Nothobranchius furzeri: one gene and its partners. The main gene of each other region encodes a partner of the protein of the gene in region 2 in a complex. Links are inferred from orthologs where the notes say so. Each region holds a gene or a part of one and is shown on either strand. Other genes may lie near its edges.

Evidence for each region. The genes of interacting proteins can lie anywhere in the genome.
Region 1: med23 (region 2) and med4 share a complex: the UniProt entries of both Homo sapiens proteins name them as parts of the mediator complex. The link is inferred for Nothobranchius furzeri from reciprocal best matches to the Homo sapiens genes MED23 and MED4.
Region 3: med23 (region 2) and ccnc share a complex: the UniProt entries of both Homo sapiens proteins name them as parts of the mediator complex. The link is inferred for Nothobranchius furzeri from reciprocal best matches to the Homo sapiens genes MED23 and CCNC.
Region 4: med23 (region 2) and med31 share a complex: the UniProt entries of both Homo sapiens proteins name them as parts of the mediator complex. The link is inferred for Nothobranchius furzeri from reciprocal best matches to the Homo sapiens genes MED23 and MED31.

The regions. Positions count from the first base shown.
Region 1 is NC_091754.1:35,368,903-35,374,194, reverse strand, and holds part of med4 (mediator of RNA polymerase II transcription subunit 4), read right to left. Parts: intron 3,636-5,292; coding exon 3,465-3,635; intron 3,120-3,464; coding exon 3,062-3,119; intron 2,084-3,061; coding exon 1,997-2,083; intron 1,907-1,996; coding exon 1,775-1,906; intron 1-1,774. UniProt on the Homo sapiens protein: Component of the Mediator complex, a coactivator involved in the regulated transcription of nearly all RNA polymerase II-dependent genes.
Region 2 is NC_091742.1:26,133,829-26,139,940, reverse strand, and holds part of med23 (mediator of RNA polymerase II transcription subunit 23), read right to left. Parts: intron 5,248-6,112; coding exon 5,041-5,247; intron 3,881-5,040; coding exon 3,737-3,880; intron 3,550-3,736; coding exon 3,404-3,549; intron 3,330-3,403; coding exon 3,084-3,329; intron 3,016-3,083; coding exon 2,873-3,015; intron 2,085-2,872; coding exon 1,910-2,084; intron 1,838-1,909; coding exon 1,674-1,837; intron 1,561-1,673; coding exon 1,436-1,560; intron 1,329-1,435; coding exon 1,123-1,328; intron 1,035-1,122; coding exon 854-1,034; intron 255-853; coding exon 84-254; intron 8-83; coding exon 1-7. UniProt on the Homo sapiens protein: Required for transcriptional activation subsequent to the assembly of the pre-initiation complex. Component of the Mediator complex, a coactivator involved in the regulated transcription of nearly all RNA polymerase II-dependent genes.
Region 3 is NC_091742.1:26,784,559-26,790,670, forward strand, and holds the end of ccnc (cyclin-C), read left to right. Parts: intron 1-2,918; coding exon 2,919-2,984; intron 2,985-3,056; coding exon 3,057-3,148; intron 3,149-3,223; coding exon 3,224-3,291; intron 3,292-3,358; coding exon 3,359-3,438; intron 3,439-4,440; coding exon 4,441-4,559; intron 4,560-4,835; coding exon 4,836-4,890; 3' UTR 4,891-5,036; downstream 5,037-6,112. UniProt on the Homo sapiens protein: Component of the Mediator complex, a coactivator involved in regulated gene transcription of nearly all RNA polymerase II-dependent genes.
Region 4 is NC_091750.1:26,551,637-26,557,923, forward strand, and holds the end of med31 (mediator of RNA polymerase II transcription subunit 31), read right to left. Parts: intron 2,076-6,287; coding exon 1,862-2,075; 3' UTR 1,655-1,861; downstream 1-1,654. UniProt on the Homo sapiens protein: Component of the Mediator complex, a coactivator involved in the regulated transcription of nearly all RNA polymerase II-dependent genes.

The DNA.
Region 1 (5,292 bases), on a different chromosome or scaffold from region 2:
AAATAAAACGTAATACTTGTGCTTCGTAACAAAGTAACACTCTGTGGAAGTTAACTTGGTGAAGTATTCACAAAACTTATTCATAAAGCTGGCGCCATCTGCTGGGTAGGTAGCGCAATATCAGCCATATCAGCCGACTTTTTAGCCGATAGCCGATACTGTTAATGACCCCAATATCGGCCGATAATATCAGCAGGTCGATATATCGGTCGGGCCCAAGACTAATGGTGAGACGGTTGTCCCGTGGTTTCATATATTTGAAATGCATCTTTCCAGGTCTTGTTTATGCATCGATGTGGTGAAACTTTACACAGCTAACACAGATCCACCTCTGGATATTAGGAAAATAATACTTTATAGGTTATATGGATCTGCCCTATTGATGTTTGATCAAAGGAAAAGTGCTTCAGCTGCTGGTTGGAATTTATTAAGAATCTAAAGGAAGTTTCCCCAAAATTCAGTGAAACGTGTATTTAAAGAGCATTTTATTCATCTTTCCCTGATAAACACAAACCATTGCAACTGTGAGTTCTTGTTTTTCCCCCCATTTTTGCTGCATTACAGTGTTAAAATCCATCCTTCTACACTCATCTCCTCCCGTCTGGATTAGGCTAACTCAGCTCAGATCCTACATGACTCTTATGGGTTTTTCTTGTTCTTTTTTGATTGCTTTCTGTAACGGTCACTTTCATTTAGACAAAAACATGTTATAAGTGTGTTTGTTTCTGACCACAACCAAAGTGTGGGAACTGAAGAAGCTTCTGGGATGAGAGGCTAAATGTCTCCAACATAACCAGAAAAGTCCAGCTGTTTATAACTGAAACCATCAGGATGATCATGTCCAGGATGACTGAGTCGACACCTCCGTGCTGCAGCAGCATTCAGTCAGAACAAAAAGTGAAGCTTGAATGTAGCTGCTGTCAGTAACAATCTAACAGATTTAAACATTAAAACTCACACCAGATTAAATAGTTCAAAAAGGAAATAAAAAATGTCACAACTGTGTGTTGTGACATTTTTTATTTTTATATTATTATCCCTGTGGGCTACAGTGGGCATAACCCGGTGTGGTCCACCAGAGAGAAAGCTCTGCAGGCGACAGACAGCTGGTGTGTTCAGCTCTGAAAAGTGCCGATCAGAATTTGCAGATCACGTTTGTTTTTCACGGAGGTCAGCTGCGAATTCCTCTTCCGGTCAGGATCTAGGAATTGAAATAAAAAACTGAGCGTTTTTGGTTCTTTTTAAAACACAGGAAAGGTTTCTGTGTTTTAAAAAGAACCAAAATGTTATTAGAAACTAGACACAGTAACAACACACCAAAGAAACTTTGAGCGTTTCCGGGAAAAACTCACTCCTGGTCCCGGTTCCCATCGATGCTCGATGCCCAACTCTACAGTTAAGTCACTCCAATGTTTTAGTTGTTATAAAAGACAGTTTATACAGCTTATCTTGGCTTCTATTTCATCTATTTTTCAGCTGATTGTTTTAGTGTTTGTACATTTTCCATCTTTTGTTATTTAGTCTCAATGTTATTTTTCTCTTTTTATGCTAAATTTTGAAATGTTTTTGATGCTTCATCTCATTAAAAGTGCTGGATTTGTTCCGTGTAAGCATCTTTGGTCTTCTGCCATGCTACTTTTATACATGCTATATAAATAAAGATGGTATGGAACAAGACACATTCTGAAGTGTCAGTATAAAACAAAACCAGTCTTCATAAAGACCTGAACTTACGCGGCACTCAAGTGTTTTAATTCTGCTCTTTTTAACTTACCTGGTAACCGTCCTGCAGCCAGAGCATCACCTGGCAGGTGTCCGTTCACACCGTTGGATGGCAGGTTTGCCATGTGACCCAGCATCCCGCTGCGCATTTCCAGGTCGGTGGGATAAGGTCTGCGTGGATCTCCTGTCACCAACGTTTGGATGGTGTGTTAATGAAGTCAAACCTGCCCTCTACTGACAGCCAGTGGGAACTGCAGGGGCCTCCAGCTCCTACCTGGCACCCAGTTGAGTGGAGCACACACGGCGTTGCTGGCACTGATTCGGTGAGCGTATTTGATGATTTCCTCTGATGAAATGCTTCCTGCAATTAAAAACTCAAAATCAAGACAAATGAAAGAAAAACAAGAACAAGACAGACTTCATTAGTGTGTGTGTGTGTGTGTTCCATGTGTGTGTGTACGTGTGTGTGCGCGCGTGTGTGTTACGTGTGTGTGTACGTGTGTGTTTCGTGTGTGTGTGTGTGTGTGCGTGCGTGTGTGTGTTCCATGTGTGTGTGCGTGTGTGTGCCTGCGTGTTACGTGTGTGTGTGCCTGCGTGCACGTTTGTGTGTTCCGTGTGTGTGTGTGTGTGTGTGTGTGTGTGTGTGTGTGTGTGTGTGTGCGTGCGTTCCATGTGTGTGTGTGTGTGTGTGCGTGCGTTCCATGTGTGTGTGTGTGCGTGCGTGTGTGTGTTCCATGTGTGTGTGCGTGTGTGTGCATGCGTGTTACGTGTGTGTGTGTGTGCCTGCGTGCACGTTTGTGTGTTCCGTGTGTGTGTGTGTGTGTGTGTGTTCCATGTGTGTGTGCGTGTGTGTGCATGCGTGTTACGTGTGTGTGTGCCTGCGTGCACGTTTGTGTGTTCCGTGTGTGTGTGTGTGTGTGCATGCGTTCCATGTGTGTGTGTGTGTGTGTGTGTGTGCGTGCGTTCCATGTGTGTGTGTGTGTGTGTGTGTGTGTGTGTGTGTGCGTGCATGTGTGTGTTCCATGTGTGTGTGCGTGTGTGTGCATGCGTGTTACGTGTGTGTGTGTGTGTGCCTGCGTGCACGTTTGTGTGTTCCGTGTGTGTGTGTGTGTGTGTGTGTGCGTGCGTTCCATGTGTGTGTGTGTGTGTGTGTGCGTTCCATGTGTGTGTGTGTGCGTGCGTGTGTGTGTTCCGTGTGTGTGTGCATGCGTGTTACGTGTGTGTGTGCCTGCGTGCACGTTTGTGTGTTCCGTGTGTGTGTGTGCGTGCGTGCGTGTTCTGTGTGTGTGTTCCATGTGAGTGTGTTCCGTGTGTGTGTGTGTGTGTGTGTGTTCCTCACCTTTCCGGGCTTTTTCTATAGACTTAAGTTTCTCTTTTGCCTGGTAAACAGCGGTGGCCTTAAATAAAAGAACAAGGGAACCAAAAATCATTTGAGGAAAGAAAACACTCAGATTTAAAGAATGATGTGTTTGTGAGTTTCTACTAATTATTCATGTTGACCAAAACCAGCAGCGTTGGTGGAGACTTCACACAAACCCACTCTGAAGCAGCAGCTGCTCCACCCTTCTCCATGACAGCTTCATGCTTTTGTTTGGTTTGTAAATTCCCATCAGCTATTGTAAAAGTTCAGTCTTTAAGCAGTTTACAAACAAGCAGCAGCACACAGCTGCAGGAATGGAATGCAGCTCATACAGATGGTGCTAAATCATATCACCGCATTGCAATTCCTACAACAAACCTACTAGTATGTGTTCGGCCTCCTTCAGCTGCTTCTGGAGCTGCTGGATGTCGCTGTCTCTTTTCTCCACCTCCTTCTCCAGCAGCTGCATCTCCTGGTGAACCTTCCCCTGCTGCTGGGCCACCTCCATCAGCTCCTGGAACTCCGTGTCCCTCTGCACCAGCAGATCAATGATCTAGATGGGAAAAACAGATTGCAAATGTTACATCCAAATTCATATTCAAAGGATAACCAGTTAACAGCCATGGCATGTCTAATCAGCAGACTTTGCTGCATCATTATAGACACCAGTGTACCTCAGATCTTCCAGGAAAAGTGATTCCAACAATAACAATAATAGGTAGTAGTTGAAATGTAAACACTCAAAAATGAAAAGGCAGCAGAAAAAAAATGCCAAAAATACAACAACGTCAAATAAAACCAATACAGAAATCAAACATCATCTCATTATGAGGAATATAACATCAAATCTGCACGGAGAAGTAAAAAGTGTCTCCTGAGGGTACCTGAACATACTGTGAAAGGCAGAAGATGGGATTTGCCAGATTCTGGGGGCGTGGCAACTAGACGCCGGCTGGTGCTTGTCAGGTGTGATGAGGCCGGAGATGATAAAAGGGTGGCAGATCTACCAAGGTGTGTGTGTGTATGGTCGACCTGTCATTGTGACACCCGGTTCTGGGGGGTGGGATCGTTCGCAGTTGGTTAGGACTGCCGGCGATGAAGACAGCTGAGTAGGTGGGCAGTGTTCCAGTGCTAGGACGGGAGGCTTGACGCCTTCTTTAGGTAGCGAGGGCTGGGAGTATTTGGGTGCCGAGACCACGCCGACATCTGCCACAGCAAACTCTGGCAGCCGGACCCGAGCCATGGACTCACCTGCCGTCCACGCAAGCTGAACCCCGGGGCGTTGGACGGTGTTGGAAGCTCAGACCCCGGGGAGGGGGTCGCATCGACTGGGCCAGCTAAGTACCTGATTGTTTGATTTTACTTATGCTGAACAGCTGGTTTTGTCTTAAAGGGACAAGAGGCAGTAGCCGACGAGTTCCACAGCGGAACTCGCCCGTGGTGTTTTATTATTCAGTTGTGCTAATAACGGGTATTTTTGATCATTTCTGCCTACTGGTGTTGTTTTAGGTTCTGACTGGAGGGTAAGACTTTCTGCCAGCGCACCCACTGAAACTTATATTAAAATACTTTACATAGAAGTAGGGTTGTCATGGTAACCGGTGTAGCAGTGAACTCTGGGGAAAAAAGTTGACAATAATAATAACCGCCTTGTTTTTAAAAAAACTATATTATCTCGGTGATTACAGTGGCTGCGGTGACCCTTACCAGCCACCGTATCATCTGCTGAAGTTGCCGGCGGCACATGCGCGCTTTGTTGTTTACAACCAAAACTTTCTTGAAGCTAAAGCTGAAATAATGGCCAAAGGAGGAGACGGCAGCGCTCAGGACATTTATTATCCCTCAAAGAAGACAAAGGGGGAAGTACGGGCATCTTTTGGATATTTGAAGAATGCCGAGGGAGTTGATAGAAGACGACTATCCTGTTTGCAGCACGTGCAGAAAAAGTGTCTGTGAAAGGCAGCAACGCTTCAAATCTCATGACACATCTGCGTGACCATCACCCACAACTCTACAGTCAACGCAAGGCAAGCTAACGTTAGCGTTTTAGCTAAAATGTGTGATCCGAGGATTTGGGTTGAGGGAGAATGCAACGAGTCGCTATATAAAGCAGCCGCAGCGCCGCTACCTGCATATAAACCGTGTCGACGCGGACACCCCCATGTTGAAATGACGCTATGCATTACGGGGCTCCCAGGGACAGATAAGAG
Region 2 (6,112 bases):
GGTATTTCTGATAAAGGAGTAAAGATTTTTTTTATCTGATCTCCTTTATAAGTGAGATTTTACCTAAACCATGTGATTTGTACCTTGTGGTAGCTCATGTGTTTGTTGTGCCAGTCGCTCTGCAGCCAGTGCTCGGGGGCGTTCTCCTTCACAAAATCATTCACTCGGTTCCTGAAGTCATTGGGCTTCAGCAGCAGCAGCTGGATTATGAAGTAGCACACCTGAGCCTCGTTCCCCTCGTGGCTCCTCATGGCCTGGATGGCAGAGGAAGAGGAGTAAAGCCCGAGCGTGGCGTTTGGAGCGTTAAGCTTGGTTTATGCTTGACGCGTCCGCGAGGTTTGCACGGCTCCGTCATTTTAACAACCACGCCCCTCCACACGGCCAAAAATTTCCGCACCGCGCACCTAGGAAATTTTCTAACCACGCGGACGGTCGGATGCGGAAAAACATGGTGGACTGGCAAGAACTAGTATGGCAGAGGTTCGTAAATACAGACATTTGTATGATTCAGCTCTCAGAGATCACCGTGATCAACATGTTGTTAATAATTCTTGGAGAGAAATAGCTCGCACTGTCGGAAAAGACGAGGACGCTGTTAAAAATGCTGGAATGCCGTGTTGTAAACAACAGTAATTTTTACTTCTACTATGGTGTAGTGTTGGATGCATGCCGTAGAGCTCCATGCTGCCCCCTACAGTTTGGGAGAATATTGGCTCACCGCAGAGACAAGCCGCGTGAACCATAAACGCTGCGAGTTGCGAAGCGCGTTCCATCACCAAGCGGAAAGTAAATGCGTCAAGCATAAACCAAGCTTTAGCGTCAAATGAGCGTAGATTTCTCTGCGCGTCCTCACCAGACACAGAATGAGCCTGTCCAGCGTGACTATGTTGTACTTCCAGACCATGTCGTTGAGGATTTCAATGCACTTGTTGAGTTGCTGTCCACCTGCAGACGTTGAAAATTCATAAACGAGGAAGTCGGCGAAGGTACGGACGTGAGCCACCAGAGCGCGAGCTCCAATTCGCTCCAACACCCTGATGAAGAGGAGAAAAAAAACCAAAAAGAGTGACGAAGTGAGCCTAGACAAGTTTGGATTTAAAAGCAGCAAAGATCAGAGCGGACCTGAAGCCTATCTGGTTGATGTGGTCGGTCTCCAGCAGCATCTTCCACAGCAGACACAGGAAGAGGGGAGGAGAGCCCTGCATGGAGAAGTGGGTGATGATGTCGTTCTCGTTGGCCATCGACTTCCACTTCCTGTACTCTTCTTCCACGTTTTTCTTCAGGTTGAAACGAGACTCCTGAGGAACGTTGTTCTGTTTAAAGAACGCCTGAAACACACACAGGTGCTGAAGTTAACCCAACAAGTTGTTTAATTTAATAATTCATTTATTCACTTTTGTCCCGCCCTGTTTGTTGAGGGGGAAACCTTCTGCACCTGCAGCGGAGCAGGGAAGCAGGACAGAGTGTGTGAGGCCCAGTTGTGAGGTGTGAAGTTCATGATGGTCTGGAGGATGTCCTTACACCAAGTCCCATGGATGGAATCAGACCCTGTGAAAAAGTCTCATACAGACAAACCAGCACAGAGACTCAAACACCTGATTCTATTATTATTATTTAAAAAGGCAGTAAATTAAACCAAATGTGAGTAAATGCAAATCCTGTCTAAGAGGTACCGGTGACATGTGTGGCTCGAGCCAGAGTGAGGATCAAGGCTCGGTTCAGCTCCTCCGATTCAGCTGACAGAACCGTCTTCGGGTCGTTGAGGAAGCGGGTGAACTGAGGTTGTACCTCTGAACTCCCCAAAGCTGTGATCAGCCTCAGAGCCGTGCTCTCAACGCTGAGAAGGAGACGAGAAATCTGTTAACTAGGTCATAGGAACAGCTTGCGATGTCTCGAGATGCAGAGTTACCACAGGTGCAGCTGGTTCTGGTTGGTCTGCGGTACCGCGGACAGGCTGTGCAGATGACTCAGCAGCTGGATTCTGTAGTGCGGCTGGACGTGGTGCATCCTGTAGCTGAACATCTCCAGCAGCGTGTGCAGGATTCCCCACGCGTGAGACTTAAACACGTTGGGCAACAGCTGGCCTGAAGTGAAGAGGTGGTTAATCAGATTATTTATGATGAATGAGATATGTGCCTGCCAACTCCGGGTCGGGGGAGGGGTCCTACCTCAAGGGGAGGAGTTTAAGTATCTCGGGGTATTGTTCACGAGTGAGGGTAGGAGGGATCGGGAGATCGACAGGCGAATTGGTTCGGCGTCTGCAGTGATGCGGACGCTGAGCCGATCTGTCGTGGGGAAGAGGGAGCTGAGCCAGAAAGCCAGGCTCTCGATTTACCGGTCGATCTAAGTCCCAATCCTCACCTACGGTCATGAGCTTTGGGTAATGACCGAAAGAACGAGATCGCGGATACAAGCGGCTGAATTGAGTTTCCTCCGTAGGGTGGCCGGGCTCAGCCTTAGAGATAGGTTGAGGAGCTCGGACATTCGGGAGGGACTCGGAGTAGAACCGCTGCTCCTCCGGATCGAAAGGAGTCAGTTGAGGTGGTTTGGGCATCTGGTCAGGATGCCTCCTGGACGCCTCCCTGGGGAGGTGTTTCGGGCATGTCCTGCCAGCAGGAGGCCCCCGGGTCGACCCAGGACACGTTGGAGAGGTTACATCTCCAATCTGGTCCGGGAACGCCTTGGGGTCCTGCCGGAGGAGCTGGTGGAGGTGGCCGGGGAGAGGACGGTCTGGAGCTCCCTAGTTGGGATGCTGCCCCCACGACCCGGACCCGGATAAGCGGAGGAAGTCGATGACGAGATATGTTATGAGCTAAATCTCAGAGCTCACTTCAAGTGTTCTATCAACAAGGATCAACCTAAGTAAACCCACTGATGAATCCTTTGATGCCCAGTGACTCGATCTCCATGTAGACCAGCAGTCGGCTGTATGTCTCCACCAGTGCGGGGGCCAAGGCCAGGCTGGACTTGGTGTGGGCCAGCTTGATCACACGTGTGGCGATGCTGTGGATCAGACTGAAGACAAACAGGAAGTGAAAGTTTTAAACAAAAACAGCTGAAGTAACTTAAGTTTCTTGTCCTACCTCATCTTAGCATGCACAGTGATGGAATCCAACAGATTCATGGGCAGCGGGGTGATGGATCCCGACGCCATGCAGCTGGTTCCAGGCAGGTTGATCCTTACAGATCCGTTTCCATAAATGGTCTCCACCAGGACCCCCATAGGCAGGGTGAAGCACTCAGAGTTTGTGCTATAAGCGTTACACAGCAGGGCGATTTTATAGTCGGACATGCCCAGGGTTTTGTTACGAAGAGACTGCTGGAGGAACCTAAAACCCAAAGACAGAATTAACTAGATAAAAGGGTGATTTTAGTCATTTAAGGCAATGTTCCAGATTTTTACTCGTGGTGGAGTTTCAGAGAGTGTGGGATTGGTATCTGCAATTTGGAGTTGTCATTCTGAGCTTTGCGGTTCAGATGGATCCAGATGCAGGTCATGGCAAAGGAGTGGGTGGACTGGGGCTTGTTAATGTCAGGAACCTGGATGCACTGCAGAGGGACAGACAGTTTAGGTATCGTCTGCATTACTGACTAAAGTAATGATGAGAAATACAACAATTATTAGTTAAAATGGTTAAATTAATATTAAATTAATATTTTTATTTCAAAGCAGCCAGACAAAGAGCAAACTGAAGTCTTTTTGGTACAAATAACAGCGATCGTGTCTTCATGTTACCTCTTTTTCAGGGTACAGCAGATCAAAAAGCTTCATGACCGGCAGGAAGTCAGCCAGTGCATTTTTCTGAATGCTGCCAGATATAAACTGCAGCAGGACCCACATCAGGTGGTCCCTCCCTTTTATTAGGCCTCGGCCTGCAAGCTGAGGAAAAAGAATATCAGCTTTATTAAAGGGACTTTACGGACTTTTGAATGTTTATGCTCGCTATTGCCCCCTCAGGCCAAAAGCGTAACAGAAGCTTCAATGGTAGGCTCATGCACGATGGTGTACGTGCACACTCCTTAACGAAAATAACAGCTGAGACAGCACGTGCACGCGCGCGCGCGTGTGTGTGTGTGTCTGTGTGTGTGTGTGTGTGTCTGTGTGTGTGTGTGTGTGTGTGGCCCAGAGGACAGAGGACAGGAGAACGCGCAGCTAATTAATTAAATAATTTGGTTCTGTACCTTTCTCTTCAGCACAGCCGACAAAGGTTTATGATGGGTCAGTCCTCCTGCATGCTCAGATCATTCCCTTCCCTTGCTTGAAAAATTGTTCCAAAATGAAAGTTGAACCCACATCTTTTTTATCTGTGAATTCAATGCCGTTCGGCGAGTCTCAAATAAAAATTTGGGCATCTTACTGTAAAAAATATACCATTAATGTAAAAAAGAAACTCTAAATAAACTATGTTCACACCCAGAATCAAACCCAGGTCTTCTGCATGAGAGTCAGACATCTTACAAGGTGAACTAAACTCTAGTAACATTCACAGTATCTGTAACATTTATATCCTTGATGACAGCTGAAACAACGTCAAACCAAAGAACGGTTCGGAGCGAAAATGGCTATTTTGTTGCTAATTTGCAGGAAATATCTAGAAGAAAGTTCTACAGAAAGTAGCTAAGGGTCCTCAGAAATGTAGCTAGCTTTGTCACTAGGCGTTAGGAACAGCGACAAAGTGGCACTGCCCCTCTCTCTGTTGCTAAAGCTACGGATAGCAAATGCTACGAGCTATGCCTGAGCGTGAACGCGCATGAAGCAGCCTGCTCGACCCGAGCATCTCTCTTTTTCTGTGATTTTACAGAAAAACAGGCAATCACAGTAAAAATGCCAGGGCTCATTCTACAGGACCAGGGCATTGCAGGAGAATGTATGAAGAAGACATTTATTATTTCTATACATGTTTTGGCTGTCACACTTCCATAATGTCCCTTTAAGGATTTCCTTACAGTTTATAATTGTGCAACAGAGCCTCCCAATCAAAATAAAACTCAAAAACATGTAGAAAACTGTTTTTAATCTTCCTGCTGCAGCTTTCCTACCTTCTGATGTAAGGAGAGCACCATGTGAGGGAAGCCGGCGAACTGAAACAGCACAAAGAAGATGAGCTGGGAGGAGAGGTGCTGCCACAGCAGCTGGCTCGTTCCTCCAATGTCAGCGTCAAAGTGCTCCTCAGTCTCAGAGCGCTCCATGGCGTACACCACCAGGTCCACCAGCTGCTCCTCCAGCACCGGGCAGCGCTGCTTTTGCTGAGGACAGGGAGGAGAAGGAGGAGGGTGTGGGGTGTTAAAGGATGAAGGAAGAAAGGGGCAAAAGGGGGAGAAAGTTAAGAGAAAAAAAAAACATTTTTTTTTTATTATAAAACATGCTTCTGTTATAGTTACCAACATTTTTAGTCCCTTGCATGCAGGACTGCATCTCCTACCTGTCTGTCATCTGGGTTACACCCGGCTTTTAAATCCCTTCTGGTGTTATTTAGAAATTAGAACTAAAGTATTCAAGTAAGTCTTTAGGTTCAGTCCTGCCACATGCAGTCGGAGAATGATTAGTAACATAAACTTTGTAAAGTTTTTTTTAACAAAAGAAAATAAAGAGGAAACATAAAAATAACAACGATGGAAGAGAGAATTACTAAATTAAGCTAAACAAGGTATTTCAAGGATATTTAGTTGGCTAAAAAAATCTACTTGTTGGGAAAAAAGTGGGTGTGAGTATATTAGGAGGGAAGTAAATTAGAGAGAAGGCGATGAGGAGATACATTAATCTGATCTGCTTGATTTCCTAAACACAATGGTCCTTAGAGACAAACAAAGCCACAGCCCAGGTTGATTTTTATTTCATTTATCGATGCTGATGCTTTTACTCTTTTCCTTAAAGGGACTTTATGGACTTTGAATGTTTATGCTCGCTATTACCCCCTCAGGCCAAAAGCGTAACGGCAGCTTCAATAGTAGGCTCGTGCACGAGGCGCGCATGCTGTACGTGCACACTCCTTAACGAAAATAACAGCTGAGCCAGTCCCGTGTGTGTGTGTGTGTGTGTGTGTGTGTGTGTGCACGCCCACTGGAAGGGGTGGATCCCATAAAGCATAGAAAAACCAGCGGGCTATCACAA
Region 3 (6,112 bases), about 650 kb from region 2:
CGAACTGCCTTTGAAGGAGCCAGAGATAGGAAGTCATTCTGGATTGAGATATTGTGCTGTATGGATGGTTTTGCTGGGATGACAAGTAGTTCAGTTTTAGAGTGGTTGAGTTGGAGATGGTGGGATTTCATCCATTTTGATATGTCAGAGAGACAGTTTGATATTCGTGCAGAGACAGTGTGGTCGTCCGGCGGAAATGACAGATAGAGCTGGGTGTCGTCTGCATACCAGTGGTAGGAGAAGCCATGTGATGGAATGATCTCACTCAGTGAGGTGGTGTATATAACAAAGAGAAGAGGCCCTAGTACAGAGCCCTGGGGGACTCCTGTGGCAAGATGGTGCACGTTAGAAGATTGTCCAAGTCAAGATACACTGAATGATCGTCCTGTGAGGTACGATTCAAACCAGGCGTGTGCTTTCTCTGTGATGCCCATGCTAGAGAGTGTGGACAAAAGGAAGTCATGGCTGACAGTGTCTAATGCAGCCGATAAGTCGAGCAGGATAAGCACTGAGGGTTTGGCAGTCACTCTAGCATCTTTTAAGGATTCAGTCACTGCTAACAGAGCAGTTTCAGTGGAGTGGCCCTTTTTGAACCCAGATTGGTAAGGGTCAAGCAGACAGTTTTGTGAGAGGTATTCTGTGATCTGCTTGAAAGCCACCCTTTCAATGATTTTGGACAGAAAAGGGAGGAGAGAGAGAGGTTGGTAGTTCTCCACATGATTTGGAGGAAGTGATGGTTTTTTTAGCAGCGGTTTAACCTGAGCATGCTTGAGAGAGGTGCAAATAATTGCCTCATCGACCACAACGCATGCCGGGATGCTGGTTAAAAAGAAATAAAAATAAAACTTTAATAACAAACAACCAAACAATTATTTGAATTAATTTATATTCATTGCTGCTCCGTCTAAAACATTCAGAGCATTAATTAGTCATCCTTGAATTAACTACTTTTGTTTGAAAGTACATCTTTTCAGAAAAGGCACTTGAGCCTTTTCTCCTGCAGCAATGCATTGTGGGTAATTCCAGTCACCCAAGTCCGCTATCTTCTTAAGGCCCTGTCCACACGTAGCCGGGGATCTGCCAAAACGTAGATATTTTTCTACGTTTTGGCCTGTCGTCCACACGAAAACGGAGTTTTTTCACACGAAAACGGATCTTTTTAAAAACTCCGGCCAAAGTGAAGATCTGCGTTTTCTCCGTTTTGGGTGTCTGCGTGTGGACAGACAAAACTGGAGTTTTAAGGTCCGCAACGTCACTTTCCGCGACAAAAAAATGCTGACATCACGTGTGCGACCTGTGTTTACACTAGCCGACAGCATGGAAGCCCTCAGAGCTGCGCTCGCTTTATCAATTGTCCAAGCGCTTTCTGCTTGTTTGTTTTTGCAAGTGGAATTACTGCTCCTTGTGGAAGACCACAGACGAAGGACGAGGTTAAGAACGGGGGAAGTACTGCCGCCTACAGGTCTGGCATGTCCTTATCAACGTATTTATCCGGGTACGTGTGGACAGAGTTTTTTTTAAAACGAGGTGGTGTGGATGCAAGTTTTTGGAGGGGCGGATATTCGTTTAAAAAAAACCCGACTACGTGTGGACTAGGCCTTAATCATCTCGCTGGATCAGATGCGTGGAATGCATTTCGCACCGGCTGCACATCTGAACCTTCCTTGCTGATTTATCAGCGTGAAAATATTCTAGGTGAGTGAGGAACTTGTAATTTTTGTTTATTCCAAACATACATTTTGAGCCCCCCCCCATTAATGCACATGCCCGAGGATGACCTAAGCGTCTTCCTCTGCAGCGTTGTTTATGTGATGCTTTCCAGCTCACCAAGACGCCCTCACGCTCTTTCACAGTGCCGTTACATTTCTGGTTGCTGGTACGCAACATTCCTCAGTTAATGCGTAGCACCACAGAGCTCCCAGAACCTCGTCAGAACCGTTTGGACACGTTGATTACAGCGGGGCACCGGATTGACGACAGCTCCTTGGGCAACGATGGTCCAAGTGTCCAAGAAGTCAAATGGGAATGCTGTCAGGCTGTTCTAGGGTCAGTCGAAGTCGAATGTTTTTATTTTTTGTTGTTTAGTTAAAAATAATTAATCTGCTGATCTCAAAGGGGAGGAGTTTAAGTATCTCGGGGTCTTGTTCACGAGTGAGGGTAGGAGGGATCGGGACATCGACAGGCGGATTGGTTCGGCGTCTGCAGTGATGCGGACGCTGAGCCGATCTGTCGTGGTGAAGAGGGAGCTGAGCCAGAAAGCCAGGCTCTCGATTTACCGGTCCATCTACGTCCCAATCCTCACCTATGGTCATGAGCTTTGGGTAATGACCGAAAGAACGAGATCGCGGATACAAGCGGCCGAAATGAGTTTCCTCCGTAGGGTGGCCGGGCTCAGCCTTAGAGATAGGGTGAGGAGCTCGGACATTCGGGAGGGACTCGGAGTAGATCCGCTGCTCCTCCGGATCGAGAGGAGCCAGTTGAGGTGGTTTGGGCATCTGGTCAGGATGCCTCCTGGACGCCTCCCTGGGGAGGTGTTTCAGGCATGTCCTTCCGGCAGGAGGCCCCCGGGTCGACCCAGGACACGGTGGAGAGGTTACATCTCCAATCTGCTCCGGGAACGCCTTGGGGTCCTGCCGGAGGAGCTGGTGGAGGTGGCCGGGGAGAGGACGGTCTGGAGCTCCCTAGTTGGGATGCTGCCCCCGCGACCCGGACCCGGATAAGCGGAGGAAGACGACGACGGTCTCATAAAGACCGGTTCTGTTCCGAGTTTCTTCCTCTTTTTTTTTCCTTCATCACACAGCTCAGCTTGTTGTCCGACACAAATAACGGTCCCTCTGGAACGCGTGGTCACTCAGCTGAGTGCTCAGCTTTAATTACAGCACCCATCTTTCTGGTTGTTTTCCGTTCGTGTCTCTCAGACTGACCGTAGACCGCTCGTCTCTCCCCAGATATTAGAATGTGAGTTCTACCTTCTGGAGCTGATGGTGAGTAGAAAAGCGTTTCCTCTGTCGCTGAGCCGACGCCATCACCTGGATGACTGTCGCCTTCTGTTTCAGGACTGCTGCCTGATCGTGTACCACCCCTACAGACCCCTCCTGCAGTACGTGCAGGACATGGGACAGGAAGACATGCTGCTGCCGCTGGCCTGGTACCACTCTGGGTTCTGCTTGTGTCAAACACGATTTGATGGAGTGTTTTAAAGCGTCTCGCTTTTCTTTCTCAGGCGGATAGTGAACGACACCTACAGGACGGATCTGTGTCTGCTCTACCCTCCCTTCATGATCGCCCTCGGTGAGAGTTTGCTTCTCTGACTCCCTTCCTTAGATTTGATCTGATCAGTTCTTCTTCTCCCCTGCAGCTTGTCTACACGTCGCCTGTGTGGTGCAGCAGAAAGATGCCAGGCAGTGGTTTGCAGAGCTCTCTGTGGACATGGACAAAGTAAGATGGATGTTTTTTTTAATGTTTTAACAACAGACGCCTTATTTTATCCACGTAGTTCTGCGTCTTTGGCTAATCTTTCTCAGGTTATATAGCCAAGTGGTATACTTCAGCGTTAAGCTATTTCAGTCTGATTTGTCCAGTCAGGGAGTGGGCAGGGTCTGGTGGGGATCAGCGTTTCTTGTTCTTTACTCAAATTTAATAAAATCCAACATTTAGACGCCCAAACAGACTGATGTGGGAACATTTTCACATTTAAATCCTACGTTCCACACAACAGGGTGGGTCCTTAAAAAGTCTCAAATGTGCTTTTCCAAATTTAAGGCCTTAAAAATGACAAATATTCCTTAAATGCAGTTTCCAAAGGTCTTTAATTACCAAAGATCCAATTAACAAGATTCTTTTATTTCTATCAAATTTGGTGAATTTCTACTTAGTGTTCGACGTTTTTTGTGTGCGATGTTGGCGTAAGCGGAACCGTACACATGCAGTTGGTTGTGAAGGGGGACTACTTTTAGATGAGCACGTTAGCTGGTTAAGCTAGTGGGAGCTTGCGCCATGGGGAAGTTTAATGGTTACTGGATGGCTAATCCCACGATCGCTACGTGGTTGGCACCGGTTCCAGGCGGTAGCTGGAAATTATAGCTTAAATTTAATTTTTTTAAATGAGCCGCACTTGTATAGCGCCTGTCAGAGTCAGGACTCCAAGGCGCTTTACACTACAGTGCATCATTCATCCATTCACACGCCCATGCTAGCGTGGGGACGAGCTACGATGTAGCCACAGCTGCAAGTGTTGCCCAAGGACACAACAGCAGAATTCTCTGTCCGGAGCCGGGATCGAACCCGCAACCTTCCGATTACTGGACAACCCGCTCAACCTGTCGAGCTGCTGCTGCCCCGCTTAAATAGCTTGAATTTGGCTCGCTTGAACCTGCAGATGCCCTGCACCAGGACGGGTCCGTGTGTGAACGAGTTCCTAAGTCGATGTTTTCTTTTAAGATCCTGGAAATTATCCGTGTCATGCTGAAGCTTTACGACCAGTGGAAGAATTTTGATGACAGGAAGGAGATCGCTGCTATCCTGAACAAGATGCCAAAACCCAAACCACCACCCAACAGGTAGGTCTGACCCGGTTCTGGTACCTTTCAGACTTTTAGTCCCTCTGTTGCACCGTGTGTGTGATGAACGGAGAACACGTTCTGCAGTAGGTTTATTTTTTTTACCTCTCAATCGGGCCTGGATTCACCAAAAGGTTTCTCATCCATTTAGTGATCTATGTCTGTCTAATTCACCGGCTCCTCCTGAAACTGTTCCAAACTGCATCAGAAAGAGAAAAAAACAGAATTGTTTCAATACAAGTTTAATTCTTTTGCTTTTCGTTTTTCTTCCTGCAGTGAAGGTGATCAGAGCTCCAACGGGAACCAAAGCAACTCCTACAGCCAGTCTTAGCAGAAACCTCTGTGTTCACGGGGGGGGGGGGGTCCATAATGTCATGAACTTTGGGACGAGTCGAGTTTGTCGGCGTCGCTCTAAAACCCGATCCAAGCCCTCACAAACTCCGAGCACCGAACCGACTCTCCTCCCACTCTTTTACCGTGGACCCTTGGATCGGAAACGCCCGGAGCGACGAGCCGACCGACCGTTCCCGCTGTCCTCTCCATCAGGCGGATGACTTTGACCGGATATGAATAAAAACTGGTGAAGGTGCGAGAGGGAAAACTGCCTGATCCTGAAGTCCTTGAACCATCCCTAGGAGCAAATTAGAACTCTGTGGGATTTGAGAAAACGTAATCATGAGTACTGTATGTTCACGTGTGTGTGTGTGTGTGTGTGTGTGTGTGTGTGTGTGTGTGTGTGTGTGTGTGTGTGTGTGTGTGTGTGTGTGTGTGTGTGTGTGTGTGTGTGTGTGTGTGTGTGTGTGTGTGTGTGTGTGTGTGTGTGTGTGTGTAGTCTGGGTGGGGTTTCGTTGCTCAGGGATCGCTGTAGTTTTCTCTCCATCAGTGAACGATTCTGTGCAGTTGAGTGGATCTGATTGGACGTGTGACTCTAAAGAGTTAGCATCTTGATAAAATCACTGTGCTGTGTTCATAAACCACAATTTACTGTTCCAATCATGACGATTCACTTATTCCCTTCCGTTCTCTCGTCTGTTGTGGATCGTATTTTCTGTATAATTTTTGCTTTATTAATGAAGTTGATACAAATGCCGAGTTAAACTTTGTGCTAAGCGCTTCTGCTTGTTTAGTTTTTGGGTGATTCTTTTAGTCTGGTGCAAAAATATAGAACATTTGTGAGCTAGTTTTCCTTTTGAAGCGTTTGGCTTCGGTTGTTTTCAAGTATCTGTTTTTGTCGTAAATATTTGCTGAAAGGGATTTATATTAAAAACTTTTTTTTTTTGCCGAAACAGTTCCTAGTTTCCTGAATGGCCTCTGTTTGAAGAAATAGCTTTAACATCTTACAGAGCTGATGAGCTTAAGTCTAAAGTTTGCTGCTAACTTCCTAAAATGTCTCCAATCTAACTTTTTTTAAACGTTTTACAGCAAATAAATAATTCCTGATGTGTGTGTGTGTGTGTGTGGCTGCAGCATTTGATGTTTATGCTTGTAAACAACCATGCATTTCCATATAAATCACAATGTCAAGTCGACAGCAGTGTAAGAGTTAATAAAGT
Region 4 (6,287 bases), on a different chromosome or scaffold from region 2:
CCATCTGGGTGTTTGCCCACCAGGAACAGGCCACATCCCTGTCCACAATGTCCCAGAACCCAAATGAACCCCACAACACTGCCCTGTTTCTGCAGTTCACAGAGCAACCGGCGTATGGAGACTAGCAGATTTGGCCTAGAGCCCAATCTCATACCTGCCAGCGCTCTCAACGCTGCCGCCGAGTCGGAGCACACGACCGCCATCATTGGCCCATGTTCCCCTACCCACCTTAAGGCGCACAGTATAGCCACCACTTCCGCTGTGACTGAACCGTGGTCATGTAGCCAGCTACCAAACACGTGCCCCAAGCTAGGAATCACAAATCCCACCGTAGCCCTGCCACTCTCAGGGTGCCTTGAGCCATCCGTGTATAACGGCACACACAAGGACCATCCAGTCTTCAAGTACTCCACTACCTCCTCCGCCTGACCTCTCCCCCTGCCCTGCCCTGAGAGTCTCATATCCACCCCTGGGTTGGGTGGCTGCCAGTGCGGAACATCCAACCTGACCAAATGTGAAACCACTGGCCAGCCCAGGAGATCCAATCTACCCACGTCCCCTGAGCCTTTCCAAAAAGCCTCCCTGCCCTTTCCCGCCACCTAACTCCCACTGCTCCTCCAGCAAACCCAGCGCCACAGCCTCATCCCCCATACGCAGCACCCTTATAAGGTATTGTAGCCCCAGCTTGACCCGACGATACTCCAGGGGCATCTCTCCCACCTCCACCTGAAGTGCCGGCACAGAGGTTGTACAAAAGGCCCCGCTACTAACTGCTGCTGCCTGCACCATATCCAGCCTCCGCAAGGTCGAGGGGGCTGCAGAGCCATACACAAAGCATCCATAATCCAGGATTGAGCACACCACACCCCTGTAAACCATCAGCAGCATGGACCTATCGGCTCCCCAGTCCGGCCCAGCCAAACACCGCATGACATGCAGCACCTTAGTGCACTTGTTCACTAGATTTATCACATGAACCCTCCATGTCAACCGTTCATCCATCCACATACTTAGATACTTATACGAGGCGACCCTCACAATCAACTCTATGTGACAGATGTGTTGTTCTGCGTGAGGCAAATGGTGGCCACACCAGATACTGACTGGTTTTCTGCCTTACCACCCCCATAACGAATAGCTGTGCACATGTCAGGGTGTCCTTTTATTGTGGGCAGTCTAAGGCACACCTGTACATTATTCATGCTGTCATCAGCCCCTTGATATGCCACACCTGTGAGGTGGGATGGATGATCTTGGTAAGGGAGAAGTGCTCACTAACACACATGTACACATTTCAGAACAACATCTGAGAGTCATGGGTGTTTGGTGTATGTAGACACATTTTCAGATGCTTGAGTTCAGATCATTAAAAATGGGAGCAAAAACAAAAGAGATGCATTCATATTTTTGTTCAGTGTATTATATAAATATATACATACACACACACACACACACACACACACACACACACACACACACACACACACACACACACACACACACACTGGGGTAGGTAGCTTGTCTTATCAGATTATTCTGTACATCCAGCTGTTAACTTCTTTTGCAGTGAGGCCAATTCCACCTTACTGGAATCAATAACTGCAGCTGATATTTCCAGTGAAGTATTTATTTACTTTAAAAATATAAAACAAACTTATTTTAAATGATTTATTTAAAAACAAGAGCTGTAATGTCACCAGACAGAAATAAATATATACTGCTTCTGTGAATTAGTCAGAACAAACGTGGACCATCTAAATTTTTGATACGTTTGGATTTTTGCTTTAGTCCTGAATGTAACTCCTGAGGAGAAACACCTCAGTGGAAGAGTTTATTTACAGCAGGAAGCAGGATCTCTTCATCACTTGGCAGTGGTGTTCCCGTGTAGAGGCGGTTGTTGAGGAGGCTGTTGCTGCTCGGCGAGCGCCTGCTGCAGCCGCGTCCGTTTACGGGAGTAATGCTGCCAGTGCAGAAGCTGCTGCTCATCGATGAACTTGGCACACTGAGCGTTAACCAGCTCCTTCCTGAAATGTTCATACTGCAGCAGCTCTAGCATGTGGAGGCAGTGAGGATACCTGAGGCAAGGTGGAGGGGGTGGAGTTAGACATATGGACTCAAATGACATCACAAAACAATGTAATTAATTAAAATATTAAACAACTACAATCTGCTTTGCAACCATGTTCTTATTGTGTTGTTCCCTTGGAAAGGTAAAGTCACATTTTAAAACGTGGGCAAAACAAAAACACGGGTACACTGGCATGTACATAAATACACCATCATTATGTTTACAATAATAATTATTAATTATCGCACTAGATAAGAGCAATGCGGACTCTTGTATCACTGCATGCCTGAAGGACGTAAAGGGTTGGCTAGCTGCCAATTACCACAAACTAAACAAGTTTAAATCAGAGTCCATCGGGTTCAACCCTAGAAATCACTCTGGCTCTCAGTCTGACTTCGACCTAATTTTTAACCCCAAACTGTGTCTGACAAGTCTTGAAGTAAAATTAGATGATGACCTATCGATGGTTCCTCAGATAAATTCAGCTGTAAGGTCTTGCTTTCATCAGCTACGTCGTCTTAGACCAATTTTAAAGCAACGGCATTTGGAATCGGGTTTACAAGCTTCTATAACCTCTCGTCTTGACTACGCGAATGCCTTCCTTATTGGAGCTCCTAGCTCAGCTCTAAATCGTCTACAGATAGTCCAGAATGCTGCTGCTAGATTCCTCACGAAACCAAACAGACGTAGCCATATTACTCCAGTCTTGGAACATCTCCATTGGCTTCCGGTAGCGTTCCGGGTACAATTTAATATTCTGACCTTTTTGCACAAGGCTTTAAATTACTTAGCACCTGTTAATCTCTCTGAGCTGATCACCCCCATATTCCAAAGTGCTCACTGAGGTCAGCAGATCACATCCTCGGGTGGTCCCGAAGACAAAAACGTGGGAATGGGAGGAGTTTGGTGAGACCATGGAGCAAGACTTCCACATGGCTTTGAGGAGATTCCGGTCCACCATCCGGTGTCTCAGGAGGGGAAAGCAGTATGCTACTAATACGGTTTATAGTAGGGACGGTGTGCTGCTGACCTCAACTCAGGATGTTGTGAATCAGTGGGCGGAGTACTTCAAAGACCTCCTCAATCCCACCGGCACGTCTTCCAGTGAGGAAGCAGAGTATGGGGACTTTGGGTTGGACTCCCCATCTGAGGTCACTGAGATGGTCAAAAATCTTCTCAATGGCAAGGCCCAGAGGATGAATGGGATCTGTTCAGAGTTCCTTAAGGCTCTGGATGTTGTGGGGCTGTTGGTTGATGCTGCTCTGCAGTATCGCGTGGACAATGGGTGAAGTTCCACTGAATTGGCAGACTGGGGTGAGGGTGGGGTGGGGTGGGGGTGGGGGGGTCCCCCTATTTTAAAAGCTGCAGAGTGTGTTCCAACTACAGGGGGATCACACTTCTGAGCCTCTTTGGTAAGGTCCATTCAGGGGTTCTGGAGAGGAGGGTCCGTCGGATTGTCGAACCTCGGATTCAGGAGTTACAAAGTGGTTCTCGTCCTGGCTGTGGAACACTGGACCAGCTCTAAAACCTTAGGGGGATCCTGGAGGGTGCGTGGGAGTTTGCCCAACCAATCTACATGTGTTTTGTAGATTTAGAGAAGGCGTTTAACTGTGTCCCCCAGGTGGCCTGGTACCCTGACCCTCCGGGTGTATGGGGTACCAGACCCTTTGATACGAGCTGATAGGTCCATGTATGACCGGTGTCAAAGCTTGGTTTGCATTGCCGGCAGTAAGTCAAGCTCATTTCTGGTGAGAGTTGGACTCTGCCAAGCTTCCCCTTTTCATCGATTCCATTAATAACCTTTATGGACAGGATTTCTAGGTGCAGCAGAGGTATTGATGGGATCAATTTTGGTGGCCAAAGGATCAGGTCTCTGCTTTTTGCAGATGATGTGGTCCTGTTGGCTCCGTTAGACAGTGATCTCCAGGTTTAGCTGGAACGGTTCACAGAGTGTGAAGCGGCTGGGATGAGTATCCACTCCTCTAAATCCGAGACCATGGTCTTCAGTTGGAAAAGGGTAGGATGCCATCTCCGGGTCAGGGATGAGGTCCTGCCCCAAGTGGAGGAGTTCAAGTACCTCGGGGCCTTGTTCATGAGTGAGGGAAAAATGCAGGGTGAGATTGATAGGTGGATTGGTGCTGTGTCTGCAGTGATGCGGGCGCTTTACCGGTCTGTCGTGGTGAAGCGAGAGCTGAGCTGGAAGGCGATGCTAGCAGAGTTTTAGACGCTACATCTGAATGACACATTGTTGTCTGCTATAATGCTAACACAGAAACACCGGAGATCCGCCACGGTTTACAGGAGTGTTTGAGCAGAGTTTCTGGCGTGTTGTCATCAGCTGGTACGGGCTCAGAACAGAAGCCATCTTCTGTTTGGCGAACACTTTTTAAAACACTGGATTTTCTTATAAATACAGCCATGAAAATCCAAAACCCTTTTTCAGCTGAGTTTTAATTTTGCTTCACACATTCATACAGTGTAATTTAGCCTCTGGATGACTTTTAAATACTTATTTCACTTTATTTTTTACGTTAGCTAGCTACTTATTCCATGCTGCCAATATGTGGAGTAGACTCTTGAACAATAAACAATGAAAATCGGAACTCAACAATTAAAATAAGTCAATTTCTTGGGAGGTGGGTCGGCTGAGTTACATTCTCGGTTATTGGTTCTTCCGATCTTTATTTAGAATATGTTATTTATTCAAAAGAGTTAAAATTAGACATTTTAAGAGAAAGTTGTTGAAGTTACATACAGCAGGGCTGCAGCTGTGGAATATTGTTGTATTAGACCATTCTATCAAATCTTCTTTCAATTAATCAATCGATTAGATAAAAAAAAATTCTGATGAGTTTGTTTTAAAAAGTCCACTCATGATTCACTTCAGAAGGGATGTTCAAGTTCAAGGTATGTTTACTTTAAATGTGATTAAATACTATGAATCATGTCAATGAAAAATTGCAGAAAGTGTTAACGGTTATTTTATTTTTAAAGCAAGAATGTGGATTTGAATACATGCTCATGAATTTCAATTCTGGTGTATAACTCTTATGGTATCAGTATGCTACTCTTAAATTTTAGCTTAAGCTTCATATGGTGTGGGGGGGTTGGGGTTATAAGCTTCTGTCTGTACCCATTTTTTGATTGTCTAAGTTGTGCGTTTACTTGTAAAGCCACCATTTAAGAAATCGTGTTACGATCATGTTTATTAGCTCCTGATCCGATCGTTTTCAGCAAAGCATCAAAATAAAAAAAGATAAAAAAACACTTACAAGTTGTCCTTTGTCACTTTCATTTGTTTGGGAAGTACACCGATTTAAAAACGCGTTTACATTGTGAATATATTTAAAGGTTGTTTCCTCCTTCATTATGCAGCTGGACTGATGGATGCACAATCCCGTAACGGATAAGGTAAGCGGCACCTCTGCTGATAGGCTAACTTTTAACGCACAACACCTACCTGTGCTTTGGGCTTTGGGGCTGCAGGAAACATGTTTGTATGCAATTATTTTTTCATATATTAGCGTACCTTTCTGTCAGCTGGTTCCACTTTTTTGTCCGAGTTCACTGTGAACTGGGACTGTAAGTGGCAAACTGGGAATTAATGGAGACCGGTGATTCATTTTGACACCCAAAGGGGAAAGAGAAGGTAGTTTGTTTGAAGGCAGAGAATCATGGAAACATTCTTCCAGCATGTTGAATGCCCAGTATGCACTTACTACACGTGGCTGTTGCTCTGCCTTTTCTGTCCGGTTTAAAATACCACCATGCTGCAGACGTTAGCCTGTTTGCTAACAGCTGCAGCGTGGTGTCTGAATCTCTGCCTGATGTAAGTTGTGTGATGTTAAGGTGCTGTTTTTGCATACGAAACAAAGAATATTGATGTAGAGGAACTTGTTGAAATTAAAACTAAACTGGTAGTATTCCATTGGAAATTCTTTATCTCAGAATGAATTAAAAAAAGTCACGTTTGTTGTTTTAAAAGGTTAAATTTGATTAATTTCTCCCGATCCTTTTAAAATCACGCCACTGGATCGGAGCATCCCTACTTTTCAGGAAAACCACCTTTTATTAAACAACAACAAAGCGTGTAAAAATATCCAGGACAACTGCAATGTCCTTGAAGGGGGGTTCATCATGATGAGACGTACCCCAGTGGCCCCATGTACATCTTAGAAGAAACACCGATGCAGTGTTTGACTGATCGTCACTTTAAAGA